2 linked regions of the Rhinolophus ferrumequinum genome follow. Each later gene encodes a partner of the first gene's protein in a complex. Links are inferred from orthologs where the notes say so. Each region holds a gene or a part of one and is shown on either strand. Other genes may lie near its edges. The genes, in order: FZD4 and NDP.

Region 1 (7,667 bases):
CGAGCGGCTGTATAAGCCAGCGTCGTAGCCACACTTGAGAACGCAGTTCAGGCTCCTTTTCACCCAGATGTACTGATCGGAATTGGTTCCCACGGAATGGCATTCTTCCCCAGGCTGGATGGGGGTTTTGTGAGGTAAGGGCACTTCCTCGTCACCTGGCCCTTCCATGCACATGTGGTTGTGGTCATTCTGTGGTGGGAATTTGCTGCAGTTCAGGCTCTCCGGCCAGGCAAATCCAAATTCCTTTAGGACAGGTTCACAGCGTCTCTTGACCGAAAGACACATGCCACCGCATGGGCCAATGGGGATGTTGATCTTCTCTGTGCACATTGGCACATACACAGAACAAAGGAAGAACTGGAAAAGTAATGAAATGAACAAAGGAAACTGTGACTTGGAAGCATGATCGAATGCTTGCACAAAGCTGAGTTATACACTTCCAGTCAAAGTACACATCTACTTTTAAACCAGCCTATAGGGAGGCCGAACATTTATGCTGCCCTCAAACAAGAGGGCCTGATAATCTGTCACTTACTCACTTTTCTTCTTTTGGTCCTAGTAATCCTTCCCAGAACATAAATAAAAATGTATAAAAAGGACCCAAAGAAATATATAATCCCTTTTTGCACAACACTTAAAAGAAATAAACCTTAAAAAACTGACTTTGTCTCCCTTCTTTTTCAGCTACCATTTGAAAGAGCAGAACAGACCAATCAAATGACTCAGTCATTTCGATGATTGGGGTGACTTATTTCTATCCCCATTTCTTTATCACCAGAAAAGTAAATGTTAAAAAATAGGTAGATCCAGATTTTCTCCTGTTAATATTCTCTCTTTTCTATATTTTATCCCTTAAAATTATTTTTTAATCAGTCCCACAGTGAAAGAGAAAGTGTCCTAATTAAGACACTGTTACACCCAAGAATAGGATGCAGGTTAAGTTCTCTGGTCGCCTGGGGTTTGTTTGGCCAGGTTTCCATAATGAATAATAATAAAGCACAATAGGAAAATATAAATGTTAAGTCCCTGAAACTGCAATACCAGTAGGGGAGAGTCCAGTTGCTGTCCTCAATTCCTCCAGCATTGATAAACAGTCTGCTTGGCTCCTTACAGATGTTGTCTATGAAGTCTAGAGTTACAAGTAACTATTTTCCAGCATGAAAAGGGATCCAGTCTTGTCCTTCAAAACAGCTTGGCTGCTTCCCCAGGATACATGTAATTAAAAATATATATCCCCGCAAAAGCTGTTTCTCCAACAAAATTGCCACTGATGTCAGGATATGTTCTGTTTCCAAACTGAGAGCTAGAGGATCATTTCTTAAGCTTTTATAACCTAGTTCTAAAGTTCTGAAACTTCCCAAGGGACATTTCACCAGCAATGGGTCTAATCCCAACCATCTTTCTGAAAACATAGAAACATAAAAGTTCTGAAAAAACTTTTAAAATTTTATACACACACACACACACACACACACACACACTCACACACACCATGTTTCCCCGAAAATAAGATCTAGCTGGACCATTAGATCTAATGCAACTTTTGGAGCAAAAATTAAAAATTAATATAAGACCCAGTTTTATTTTACTATAAGACTGGGTCTTATATTAATTTTTGCTCCAAAAGACAAATTAGAGCTGATTGGCTAGGTCTTATTTTCGGAGAAACACGGTATATTTGTGTATATGACATGCACCTAGTAAGTAAGCTGCATGCTTGTTTCTTATCTCTCAGAAGTTGCAACCAGAACCACAGATATTGGAAGCTTTTAGCCTGGACAACTATCCCCTATTTTTTCCCCCCAACTTCTCTCTTTTCTAAACTTCTTAAAATCACTCATAGCCTCGCCAAACAAAATGAAACCAGTGTTAACACTTTTTAAAACGTCCTTTCAATTCTTTTTCTTTTCCAATGAATTGGTTGTTGTTTTTGGAAGATTATAATCACCCAGTATATGCAAATTCTTTCTTCACTTACTGCTGTAGGATGAACATCTTTTGTATCATTACATAAGCTTTAAAATTGTTAATGACTGCAAAAAAATAACAATGATAATCTTTCAATATACAAATTACCTTCTTCTTGGAGCTTAACCATACCATCACTTTTTTCCCAAGCTGTGTTTTCTCCCCCTCCAAGTACTAAACCTGCCCTCCACCCTGAAGAACAAATGAACTCAAGCCAATCCAACCATTCCTTCCTGAGTGACCTCTAAAGTCATGCAGGACGACCTGAGGAGGGGCCATTCCGCAGAAAACCGCGCAGTGTTGTTTCATTTCATAAACCACCCAAAAATATGGGGGAGAAACGAGGTCGGTGAGGGAGAGGTTCCCAGTTCCTTATCTCTCCTCCAAGTCTTAGTTGCAGCTGGCTGCCCTGCCGGGGACTCGCCCACTGAGCAGCGGCGGCCAGAGTCCTTGGCAAAGATAACCCTCAGCTCCACTGGGGTTAGGGGCTTGGCCAGACACGGGTGGGCAGGGGAGAAAAACGGAAGGGCGGGGTGTAAGAGTGGGTTCTTTCGCAGGCCAGATGACTTACACAACGTTTTTGGCTTCCCAGTCCCTGAGAAGGGACAGAAAAGTGGGGGTAGGGATGGAAGTCATTTTTTCAGGATAGTTATACCCTTCAGCCTAGGAAAGGGTCAGGGGGCTCGACATGGCAAGGGCTTCAGGGAGTTAGTTTCGGGTATCCCTGCCCAAGGGGTCCCGCCAGGGGTGGGGGTGGGGGCGCCCACCTGCAGCTGGCTGGAGCAGCCGTACTGGATGAGCGGCGTGAAAGTTGTCAGCTGCAGCTCGGCGTCCGTCTGCAGCTCGTGCCCAACCAGGTTGGGCATCTTGGTCACGTTGTAGCCCAGGTTCTGGCACATGGAGATGCGGATGGGGTCGCAGCGCCGCTCTTCCTCGTCCCCGAAGCCCCAAGCCGACCCCAGGAGCAGCGGCAACAGCAGCAGCAGCCGCAGACTGAGACTGACGCCCCCGGGCGCCCCCAGGACGCTCGGCCCTGCGCCCCGCCAGGCCATGGCCAGAGCCTAGGGCAGCAGCGGCGGTGGCGGCGGCGGGGGCTGCTCCAGCAGACACCCCCAGTTTGCACCCGGGCGCTGACTGCCCGCGCTGCTCCCAGCTCCTGGGCAGAGTGTGATACGGTTCCAAGGGCGATGAGGGGGCAGCGGCGGCTTTCCAGCAGCTGCGCGCAACTGTGTGGGATATTAGACTTCCAGGGCCAGAGCCGAGGGACAGAATGCGAGGGTCATGGCTGCAGGCGGCGAGCCCCCGACCCGACGCGGGCCGTGTCCGCACGGAGTCTCCCCGAAGCCCGCCAGCACCCAGCGCCGCGCCGCTCTAACTGCTCAAGCCCTCCGCGGTGCTAGGGGTTCGCTGGGCGGTAGTGGAGCGAGACGGACAGCGCACCTCCCCAATGGCCGGCGCCGTGGGCAGCGGGGGGCGGGGCCTCTCTGCGGCAGGAGGGGTCAGGCCCCGCCCTCCGGCGGCTCTCCGCGGTCCCTCCTTTCCCTCTCCTGAGCGCCCCGCCCTGCTTCCCCGCTCTCGCTTTGCTCCCACCGGGTTCGTGGCGTTCAAGGGCCAGGCAGGGATGGAGCCGAGTTGCTCCGGCCGGGCGAGCCTGCCCCCTCCTCTTCCAGGTGAGAAATGCTCCCAGATAGGTCGGCTCCCTTGCCTTTACTCCTTCCAGCTGTCACATCCGCCGGTGGCCACCTCCCCGTCAGGCAGAGAAACGTACACAAAGAACACGGGATTTGGATTTACAAAGATTGTGACTTTAAACCCCAGCTGTGTGAACTTGAGCAAATTGCTCAACCTCTGGGCGTCGGTTTCCTCATCCGTGAAGAGAATTAGGAGGATTAGAGAGAATGCGTAAAATGCTTAGCACGGCGCCTAGTACAGCGAGAGCTCGCAGCTATTTTCACTCCTAACTCGCTGGGTTGGAAGCCCGGCCCCCCTCTCCCCGCCCCCAGGCTGGGCCGACCCGCGCTCGAGAGGGGCCTGTCTCCAGCCGCGAGTGGGGGAGGCGCCCGGGAGCAGCCGACCAGCCGACGGTCTCCCGCTCCGATTTCCTCACCGTATGAAATGAAATTCCACAGGGGGATTCGAAAGGAAATGAGACCGGGACGCTCCGTGCTTCTCGGCCCGCCGCCCTTCCTGTCTCGGGGACACGGTTTCTAAATAAGGTTGGGAGGGTGAGAGGGCTGGAGGGGAGAGGCTTGACCTGTGCAAGAGGAGGGGGGTGAGGGGGGCCAAGAAGGCGCACAGCCACCGGTGTTCCCTTCTCCCAGTGTCCCAGGCATCCCTCCTCTGAAGCCTGCATCTCTTTCTAATTTATTCTGCTCCTGCGTAGGGTCCAGCGGATCACGCGACCGGTGTTTTGGATCCAACTTTCCCCTCTCATTCCTAGGTCTTCCTACCCCCACCCCCTGGGACGCAGCTTTGTGTTAGTTCACCCTGTCCCATTTCCAGCTGAGCCAGTGAAACCCTCAGCAGGTGGATTCCTAAACCATTTACTTGTTACTTTACTGTGGTCAAGTTATTGCATGTCTCTGAGCCTCAAATTGGCCATCTACTATAAATGAGGCAGTTCCCGTCTACCCCACACAGTAGTTCTAAGAATTAAATGAGAGAATGCCTGTAAATCATTTCACACAGTGTCTGGCACACAGTAAGTGCTAAATACCTTGGTTATTGTGGGACAGCCTCCTGCTTGCCAGCATGGTGCCAAACGGTATCTCCAGCAGCCCAGGTCTGAGGATCTGGTGAAGAGCTTTCCTTTTTTTCTGAGATCTTTTTGTCCCACACTTGCCACTGTTTACCTAGGGCTCGGTGACAGGGACAACGTTTTTATGCGTGTTTGTGTCCTACCATTTCAGCTAAGTCTGTCAAATGGCAGAGGCTGTATGTAAGTTGGAGGGATGTGTGTACCACTAAATGTGGTGCTCATATTCTGTTTTGTATTTTTAGTTTTCTTACATTGGCAAATAAACTTGGCTGAGGGCAAGAATGGAATCAACATTTTTGGTATCTGGCTCTGTGCTTAGAACTGTTTGGGGCACATACAGGCTGCGTTATCTCCAGCCATCATCATCACCTCCCAGGGAAGGAGACTCCATTAGTGCCTTGAAGATATGAAGAAACTGAGGCTAGAACCAAAGGGATAGTTAGAAAATGAAAGATCAACCAAACCAGGGCTCACGAGAGGCCTTTCAAAGGTGGGAAATTGGGTTGTTTCCCCAGAAGAGTTCCCAGCTGAAAATCTACATACTCAGCAGTAGGGTCGAATGCTCTGTATGCCTGGGCTGAGTAATACATGAGACCATTGGCCTACAGTGATGACTAAATGATTAGATGCATGTGTCAAATAAATAGAAGATCCCCACCCTCTAGGAACTCGCAGGAAGAGACAGAGAATAAACAGATAACTGTAACTCAGTGTGATAAGTGCACAGAGAGAGAATCGGGGGCAAATTGAAAGTAGAGGTGCTAAGTTTGGAGGGCTGCTCAAAGAGGGATGACCTGCAGGATTCTGAGCTACTCCACAAAGCGGAGTTAGTGTGCAACTGGCACGTCTCCTGGGGCACTTACAGGGAGGGGAAGGGGGTTTGCTTTGTGCTAAATGTATGTGTACACGGTTTATTAAACAATGACCTCCATAACACAGGGTCTGATACACAGAGGGAATATCATTAGTGTTGGGTGAAGGAATACTATTATCAAATCAGTAACAAATAACTCATCTAGAACCTGTACTCTGTGCCAGATACTATGTAACATGTTTAACATACGTATTATCTCATTTATTTTGCACAACTTGAGAAAACTGATGTTCTGAGAGGTTAAGCAATTTGCCCAAGATCACACAGTAAGTGACAGAGAAGGACGCAGTTGCATGTCTGTCTGGCCCAAAAGTCTGTGTGCAGGGAGTGCACGGTACTGCTCCCATAGAGGAAACTCTTGACACTCAATTTACTCCGTAAAGATGACCCTTTTGTGATCTGGGCCTCTTATACCTGGCCCTGGCATCCCTGCCTCAGGTTGCTTGAAGCAACTGTCTCCTTTGAGAACACTCAAAGAAGAAGCCTCTTCCCGGTCAGAAGCTTTTCCTGTCAACAGCTTTTCTTTCCCGGCATGGAGCTCATGGCAGGTATTTTCCAAAAAAGAAAGCCAGGGGAATCACATTTCAGTCTGAATGTGGAAAGAAAACAAAGACCACAACTTAGAGCTAAGTCTGAATGGCCTGGAGCCCCTCAGTCTCCCTCTCACAGAGCGGTTTATAGTCGCCAGTCTGCTCCTGGTGACAGGCATGGCATGTTTGTCTTTGTTGCAGAAAATACTTCCAGGTAGAGGGCTATCCCCCCTGTGACATGCAGAGCGTTTAGGAGAGGAGTAGGAGATAGGGACATGGGAATAGGACCTTCTATGAACCTAAAGGGCAGGCCGTGACCCCTAGTGGCTCTCGCCTGAGTGCCTGGACAGCTTCCTCCATCGCTCTCAGAGTAGTGAAGATGCACGCGGCACACTTTGGAGCTGCAACAAACATGACTTCAGGGGGCTGGTGGGCAGTTGGAGGGCTCTCCATTTGCATCTAATGAGAGGCTAGATTCTAATTAACTCCTGTGATGTGTTAATTTTTCAACCTGACATCTTCTGCTCTAATAGATTCTTGTAATGATTCCTAAATTAAAGACTGCATTGGAAGAGTAGGGTTTAGGTTAACATCCACCACCTGCGAAGGGGTGTGGGGGGGGCGTAAACATCCTTTCCCTCCTAAGGAAAACCTCTCATTTGCAGCTTTTTGCTAACCCAATTAAGTGCTGAAGTAGTCACCACAGCCTGCTTTTTACTTTCTGCAAAACAATCCAACTAATCCATATTCAGTAGCTTCCAAGAAAAGTCTTATTCCAACCACTCATGGAGAAACCAGCTTCTTTGAATCTGGACGGAACATTTAGAACTCACAATGAGCTGTCTTGATAGAAAATGCAAGAAAGTGGTTCCTAATTATCCTTTTCAGTTTTGGAGGGGAGAATTCACTGGGACTAAAACCTCATAAGGATTGCGAGTTTACCGGGGAACATAGGAGCACAGGGAGAAGCCGTGCCACATCCCATCCGTTGATAGATAGTCTGGGTGCTACATCTTCCCCTGCACCCAAACTGTTATGAAACAAAAACGTGTATACTAAGTAAAGCAGAAGGGAACAGGAATCTTGCTCAAAGTCGAGGAATGAGAGGCCCCAAGGGGTTAATAAACAGCTCTTAAGTGGCAGAGCCAAACCTTCTCGTCCATTGTACCACTAGTCAGCAGAGAAGAATCTGGTGACCACAGAGCTTTTGCATATCAAGGACTCAAAGCCCTATTCCTCCCACCACACATAAGATGGTACATGGGACATTCTTATTTGTTGGTTTAATATATAGATGGGCAACCAAGAGCCTTTGCCGGAGGCAAAAAATAATGTAAATGCACTTTGTACCTCCACAACCTCATTTCATGTCCGTGGTTGTCAGTCAAACCATTACAAAATGTTTAGTGATGGGTTGTTGTGGGCATGTCACGGAGCTGGGTACTGGGAAATACGCAGACATACAACAGGTGGTCCCTGCCTTCAAGGAACTTACAGTCACATTGGAGGAGACTAAGACATGGGACCCATAATAAAA
Region 2 (8,206 bases), on another chromosome or scaffold:
AGGCAGATACTAGTTATGTACCCATTACTATTCATACTCTTTTACCAGTAAAAATTTGACTGTGTCTAGTCTGCCATGTACCCAGCCCAAGGGCATGGGTCATGATCAGGCCAGGCCAGTCATAAAAATGTTTCCCTTTGCAGAGATTACTCTTGAGGTGGGAATATGGCCAGGTTCTGGTCAATAGGATGCAAGGGGAAACCCTTGGGGTTTCTGAAAAGATTTTCCTCCTGATAGAAGTAGATAAAAAGCAAGCTTTTGTCTCCTTCCCTCTTGACATCTGAATTTTGATGTGATTTCTAGAGTTCCACCAGCTATCTTGTGTCCATGAATTGACCTGCCAGAGAAAAACAGAAGCTGACAATGTTGAGCACGATGGAAGTGGAAGGAATTTAAGTTTTTAATAATACCATGGCCACTGTACCAACCCTACAGCTATTTACTTACTGAAGGAGCACCATAAATGTACTCATGTTTTAAGCCATTGATACTCAAGTTTTTATTATTTACCTTGAAAGTGTCTTTACTGATCTCTTCCTCCGTCATTACCATTGTCTGTCTTATCCAATGCTAGAACCCCTGGGTTAAGAACATCTGGCAGGTAGGAGGCACTGAAAGAATATTTGTTGAATGAATGTACGGATGAGTGAAAGTATCTATTTGCATCCTTGCCATGGTACCTATCTTTGCTCCTCTGCCTCAGTCTTATTCTTTCACTTGCATAGTCTCAGACTGCCTTTCCACTCTCCTTTTTAACCTCATCTGGACCCAGCTCCTAGCCTGTCTCCTCCTCTGCTCACCACATCCTCCAGGCTCACCATAGCATACATTTAGTCCCAGCCAAATGTCTGACTGTGTGCTCCTCCAAAAAACTCATATGCATCTTCAGGTTCCCACTCTATGGCTTTAAAGCCCAGACCCAGTGGAATTCTCCTGAATGCACCACTTTGATCTTATTGTAAATTTTGTTTTTCTTGTGACCCTATCACATTCTATCTTGCTGTGTGTTCAGAAGTTAACATTTCTCTCTTCATTACACTATCATAAGCATCTTAAGAACTATATCCATGTCCTACTTTACTTGTATTCTCCACAAATAACAGAGCATTACTATAAAATCACTGCTCAGTGAATTTTTGTTGAATGAGGGCAGCATGGTATAGTGGCTAAGCCATGGCCTTTTGGAGATGGGAAAGACAGAACTCATATCTATTTGCTTTCTGTGTCAACCACAGAGAAATCATTATCCTCTCAGAGCCTCAGTTTCTCCACTTATAAAATAGAGAATAATAGTATCTAACTTATAGGATTATTGTGTATCCCTCTGAAAGAGATTATGCATATAGAACATTTGGCACAGAGCCCAGCAGAGAGTACACTCCAATTAAATAGTGGTTATTGTCATTAGTAGGTATTTTTAATAAATACTATCATATTCATGAAGATGGTAAAGATTAGTATTCTCACAGATAATTATAAACCATACTTAGCAGACTATGCTGGTATGTTGGGATTTCATACACACACACACACACACACACACACACACACACCTCTATCTGTATCCATGTAGATATAATATCAAATGTTATTGCTTTTAATGAGTATCTTGATAAATATACACAGAGGGTGCCCCCAAACATGTATACACATTTTAAGAAAGGAAAAAAACTATTAAAATTGTAATACTCAATATATACCAAGAACAAAAGATGAATACAAGTCACGTTTGACTTCTGCAATTACAAGAGGTGCTCAGCGTGGTTACCATCAGCATCCAGACACTTCTGATTACTGCGAACTACTGCTTGAGCAACGTTGACCAAAGTGTACATGTGTATACATTTTTGGGCACCTCGAGATATATATATATATATATATATATATATATATATATATATATATATATATATATATATATATATATAATGGATCTTGTTATAAATTCACATGGAAATTCTCCACTTTCAAAATGTTATAGCAGAGTGACAGTGAATCTGAAACCGTTTGTTTGGGAAAGTAACTGAGAGGAAGTAGAGACTTCATTTCCAATTGCATGTTAATGATGTCAGTTTGCCTAACATTGGAAAATGCAATGTTCTGGCCAGAACTACTGGTTACCAACCTCAAAAACTGTCTCTAGCTAATTAAAGCAAAAAGTAATTTATTAGCAGGATCTTGGTGGGTGTGGTGATGGGGGCAGTCCACAGAATCACCAGGAAAGCTGGAGACCCAGGCTCATAAAATGGTGGCCAGAACGGATGCAGTCAAAAAAACCAGATTGGTTAGAATGCTGTCGTGGATGGACCCTGTATCCCCAGATAACCTGCTGTCACATGGCTGGGCTCTGTTGACCTCGGTGCTGGCTGCTACAACCTCTGGGCTCTCTATTCCAGTGTGACCATAGTGAATAACCTCTGACTGTCTGCATGCGTTGGCCACTCCGCCTGTCTGGCACATCTGGTGACCCAGGCTTGGTCAAACCTGGCCCTCCAGCTGCCCTGAGAAAGGGAGAGAAAACATTTGCTCCCTTCAGTTTCTGCAGGGAAGAGGCAGGTCCTGCCTCCTACCTGCTTTGGGATTACATATCCATCCAGGGGTGTTTGGATGTTGTATGACTCCTGTAAATATCCACTACAGCCACCAAGAAAGAGAGAGGCAACCTGGAAACAGTACCAGAAATAAAAAACTCAGGCGTGGTCCCTGGAAGAATTTCCCATCCAGATAATAGACATCTCCTTCTCCAAATTCTTCCCACCCCAAATGCATATGAAATAACAGCAGGAGTATTTTCATCACTTTTTGTGTAGATAGAAATTTAAAGAGAGCGCTTATTTCTCAGCAACATTAATAATGGCCAGTAAAGCAACTACACTTGGCACAGTGACCTTTCCAAAAAGCATGGTGATGTGCTAAAAAGAGTTGCTGTTGCCAGATAGCTATTGATAGGCTCAGGAACTGGTCCTCTGAAGCCCAACTGGTGGAGACAAAGCTTCCCTTTTGAAAGGGGCAGCAGATGGTATTCTTCGCCACCTCTGATAGAATAATGGCTGGAGACAGCAGTGGGGCTCCATCTGGGAGAGAGTTTATCTGTGGCCAAGCAGTCAATGTGTTTGCAATCTTTACACTTTCTGTGGTGTTCTTCCAGAAGCACAGATTATAGAAGGCTGGAAAATTCCAACCAGGAAGAACCACACCTTTTCATGTTACTTCAGAGCAGGTAGAGTGACTCTGAGAACCCAAAGGCAAAAGATACCAGGGCAGAGTGGGAGCATATGTTGAGAAAGCCACAAATTATTTAGTAGGAGAAATGAAAAGGTGGATGGACATCAAGTTCTGATATTTGAAAATGTTGGTAGCCAAAGAGTTTATTCTCTCTCCCAATCTGACCCACAATATTGAGCCAGAAAATGTGTTCATGACTATTTCTATGGCTCTTACTCAGCTATAAGTCATTTCCCCTTTCATATTATTTCCATTTTTCAGGCCCAATTTCCATTTGCTTTTTGATCTTCTGCTTTTAAGACAGTTAGCCAGTATCATCATCAGCCAAATGCCAGCTGTTTTTTTCAAGGCTTTGAACTTGTCATTTATCCTTTATCCTTGTAGGTGGATTCTGTTTGTGAATGGCTGGTCCCAAGTAGACAGGGATTTCCTGGTAGAGCAAAAGAAAAGGAACTTCTTATTATAGGGTAGATGTAAACCTGTAAATTTCAAGACACCCCCTATAAACATCAGTGAATGGAGTAAAGATTCTGGGGAAAAGTAACAATGTGATTATCAATCTATTAACGAATAATAAATGATGTGATACAGTTGAACATGACAGCTTCAGCATCAACAATTATACGGAGCTCCCAAGAGAAAGTTCTTCGTAAGTGTTATGATATATTTATTGTTCTGTGAAATATCATTTTTAATATGCTCAGTTTAATTCTTCATTAGTGTTAATAAAAAAATTATTCTGGGACTGGGTCCATCTGACATAAAATTTTATAAATGGTTCAATGGTTCTTTGTGTTTTCCACAAAAATTGCTGATAGTTTTCTGTCTTAATTTTAAGCTTCTTAAGGGCGAGAATTATGAAATATTTCCCTTTGTATTCCAATACCTCATAACTATTATTCAGCTAATAAGTGCTTAGCTCACACACATAGTTACATTTGCCATTTTTCTCCTAGTTATGGTGTGGTGGGTTGGCTTTACCTGTAAGTCTCACACTCACATATCTCAAGGAGTCAAGGCTTACACTTTCTTGTTTCTAAATCAGATCTAAAATTTTATTCTAAATGATGCAGATGAAGGCACTTATTAAAGTGCCATTGTGGATTTAATCATGGATACACTGCTAAAAATCATTTAATGGATGAGCAACTTAGAAAAGAACTCTCACCACCCACACACACTGTGATAAAAAAAAAGGGGGAGGGGGCAGCGTTTTGCACTTGCTTCAACAGCCTGAGTAGTTCTGAGTCCCATCTTTCTCCTCTCTTACTTAGATTTTTAACTTTATCCCAGGCAGCTGCTGAATCGTTAAACAGAATGCCACTCTGTCTTTGTATTTCTAAAACTATATGTCTTTATTGCGGACTGCACATCTTTATGGCAGCACAGGCTTGCCAAAGAATTAAATTCAAAATATTCATTCAGCCCCTTATTATTTCCATAATACCAAACAAAAATGGGGGGACTTCCTTGCCCTTGCTCTTCTATGTTGTTCCCATCGCAAGATGCTCCGTGGAAGGGAGCCGAGCAGTGGGCAGCGGCTGTGAGTCCCCGATAACGAGCGCCTCACATTTCCGTGGCATTCCCATTTGCTAGTGCGCTGCTGCGGCCGCATGCCTGATTGATATATGACTGCAATGGCACTTTTCCATTTGACATTCTCTCTCTCTCTCTCTCTCTTCCTCTCTCTCTCCCTCTCTCTCTCCCTGTGTCGCTTAAACAACAGTCCTAACTTTTGTGTGTTGCAAATATAAAAGGCAAGCCATGTGACAGAGGGACAGAAGAACAAAAGCATTTGGAAGTAACAGGACCTCTTTCTAGCTCTCAGAAAAGTCTGAAAGGAGCCCTGCGTTTCCCCCAAGGTAAGCAGGAAAACAAGCGCTGACGGCTTGCCTAGGAAATTACTTCTTTCCAAACCGAGCATTTCATCCTCCTCTCAGACAAAGAGACAACCTTTAAATACCACTTAAATTTGCATTAATTTAATTTGCATTAATCTGTAGCATGCTAGCATTGTGTTTTTTAAATGAACGTGTCTTTGAAGTCTGTGACAGAGCAGGAGAGCCTCACAGAGAGGCTGGAAAATCTCTTTTGGTTTGACTTAAAGAGATTTGATTTTCAAACTCTCTGTGTAGTTAGATGAAACTTTGTAATGGTTCTTATATTTGACCCTGTGAAAGGAGACTGAGAAGCCGACATGGATTCCTGAAACCCCAGTATCTTCCCCGCCGCCCTCATCCCTCTTACAATGGGGGCACTATTAACGCGGGCAAGCCTGCGAGTTTAAAAGCGCACTGTTTACTTTTATTACTACTTGTGTATGCTGCTGATGTCCTGCCAGGGCTCTGTCGGAGTGCTTAGGATGACTTCAAACAATAGGCAACATTTATTTCTAGCTTTCTGTGTCATGCTTTGCAGGAATCTTGTTCCTTTGCGCTCTTCTCCAAACCTGCAAGGACTTTGCTTCCATAGATGCAGTCAGGAGCACTGGGGAGAGAGGAGGATGGGTTGACAATATGATTTTGATTGGGCAAAAAGTCTGAGGAAATGCATGCTGTTTGCCTTGGCCTTATTGCAAAGGGTTATTTTTAGTAATCAGCTTGTTCCTGCAGCAGGACCGATGCTACGCTGTCTAAGCAGAGACCTGGAAAGGATGCTCTCAGCAGCACAGGGACCAGGACGTGTAAGAATGAATCCTACCTGAGGAAAATTTGGAGGATTCTTTCAAGCTCCTGAATATAAGTTCTCTCTTTAAATGAACAATTGGGCTGCAGGAGGCCTGAGCATAACTCTTTCTTGGGGGACTGGAAGTTTGACTGTGTGCAGAATATTAATGACTCAGAACGCCCTGTAACTGAGGCTCATTGTAATCAACGAGCTCAGAAAATCCTACATGAAAGAGGCAGACTCCTTTCTCTACTGAGATTCAGGTGCAGGAAAGGAATCTATTTGGCATGATGGGAGTCCCACATCCTATTCTTTGCAACTGTCATTAATAACAGATATGGATGCTGCGAAAGATGTCCTTTTCATTTCTAATATTAGTGTATTTTAATTACAATGAGCTGGCATTGGCAACTTGCTCCAACACATAATATTAAATACCAGGTGCACTTGAAAACATAGAGATGCCTAAAATGCAGTGTTAATTGTGGTGTCAACCAAATAAAGCGGGGACTGCAGATGTTTCTGGATTGTGTGTTTAGACGAAATGCAGATATCTGCCCATTTTCTTCTCACCCATCTGGCTTCTGGAAGTAACTTTAGGGTTCTGTCGATCAGTTTTCATTGTGGAGTGGAGACATGGTTTATGTGGGAACCTTTCTGATTTTCTCTAATAATTAGCCTAACAAACATTGTTAAAAGAAAATCTAGCTTTTGGATGAGCTAATTTACAACTTTGGGATATTCACTCTTTGAGAAAGCCTAAGATCATGCTATGGATTCTATTGCTATACAATTTTACAGTGATTTTTTTTTTCCAAAAACTGCTGCTGTCAACAAGGCATTTAACCGAATCAAAACAGTTTTCTTAAACTGTTATTCAGATTATTATATAAGAGTGTCTGAACACAAAATGTAATGTTTTGCATCATTCATTTTAAAACGCATTTGGTTCAGGTAAAGGGAGAACTGGTTGAGGCTTTTTTGATGACTGTGTACCAAGCAGCTGACACTCACAGATGGAAACATGCCTGTGGAGTTTTCAATCTTAATATGAGTTCCAATGACAATGTCAAGGGAAAAATAAATCATTTTTCAATACATTTAACAATTTCCAACTCATTTATTTTCCTGGGACCTTGAAAAACATGGTGAGTTCCTCAGAATTATAGCCATCAATGGTGGCTGGCAATTTTTACTCCATTTTCAGAACTCACAGTTCAAGTACTATTATTCTTGTTGGTTAATTATTCATTCCATCATTCTTTTAATAAACTATGCTAGTCCTGATGATACAATGGTGAATGAGACATTGTCTCATGCCCTAATTCTCAGTGTATGTTATCTCCAGTTAGATTTTGGAACTGAAATGGACTTTGCCAATGGGTAAACTGGGCAATGACTTGCTTATTATAAGGCATTATTTAAAATATCTGCTAGTAGCCAGATTTACTTGAAATAATTGTCACTTATCAATGGGTTTTCTTTCCATTTATGATTAAGGGGTTCGCCTTAGGCCTTTATCACTGGATCCTGGGTACACATCACTTGCATAGCTAACATGGCCAGGATCTTTCCTGCCTGGGTAGAAGAAACCTGGAAAAAGGGCAGTTCATCTTTTCTCTAGTCTCTTGAACACCTTTTAGAAAGGACCACATGGTATCTTTATCAGGGATGGCTGCCCCTGATGTCAGCAGCTGACATTAGGGCCTCTTCATGAATCATTGAATTAGAAGCAAGTACAGAGGAAGATGCAGTCACTATCTTCCTCACTTGCTTATCCCACCCCCAGTATCGAAACCAATGACCTCTGGGCCTGGCCTAAATTCAAGAGGCCTCTGGGAAGAAGTTGCTGGAAGTTGTTCCTCAAACCCAGGTCTCTGTCAGAGCCACACACATTGTTGCTTTCAGATAATCCAGTCTCCTGCTTTCTGACATGGGTAGGTTACTGGAAAAAGAAAAAAAACAAAACAAAATCCTGAAGACAGCATCACCAGGGTCCTTGATTTGGTCCTTATCAGCAGATAATACCCGTGGTTGGATTAAAATGCCTCTGACTCCCTGGGGTGCCTGACTCACCCTAGCCAGCCCTCAGCTTCTTGGCCAGCAGCCTTCCAGTTCATCCTCACCTCTTCCCATGACAGTCAGTTACTGCTACTTTGTCCAGGCTCTCTAACTGGGCCAGTGGGAGGAGAAGGGATGGAGAGGCAGGTGGAAGCACTGAGAAGTGCTAAAAGCAGAGGGAAGCTAGGCCATGTCAGGGTGGGTGAGCGCCAGAGCCCAGATTGCTGTGGCCTGCCCTAGCCTTGATCAGCTG

The links.
Region 2: the proteins of FZD4 (region 1) and NDP are in contact, whole or in part, in a crystal structure (PDB 5BQE), measured with the Homo sapiens proteins. The link is inferred for Rhinolophus ferrumequinum from reciprocal best matches to the Homo sapiens genes FZD4 and NDP. Residues at the interface, in NP_036325.2 of Homo sapiens: Ser51, Met52, Gln54, Asn55, Leu56, Gly57, Gln95, Phe96, Met105, Thr107, Lys109, Ile114, Asn152, His154, Met157, Cys158, Met159, Glu160, Gly161, Pro162; in NP_000257.1 of Homo sapiens: Asp33, Ser34, Pro36, Arg38, Met40, Arg41, His42, His43, Tyr44, Val45, Asp46, Lys58, Met59, Val60, Leu61, Lys102, Lys104, Leu106, Tyr122, Leu124, Ser125.

The regions. Positions count from the first base shown.
Region 1 is NC_046294.1:59,628,061-59,635,727, forward strand, and holds the start of FZD4 (frizzled-4), read right to left. Parts: upstream 3,340-7,667; 5' UTR 3,021-3,339; coding exon 2,736-3,020; intron 358-2,735; coding exon 1-357. UniProt on the Homo sapiens protein: Receptor for Wnt proteins.
Region 2 is NC_046284.1:89,627,550-89,635,755, forward strand, and holds the start of NDP (norrin), read left to right. Parts: upstream 1-4,774; 5' UTR 4,775-5,087; intron 5,088-8,206. UniProt on the Homo sapiens protein: Activates the canonical Wnt signaling pathway through FZD4 and LRP5 coreceptor.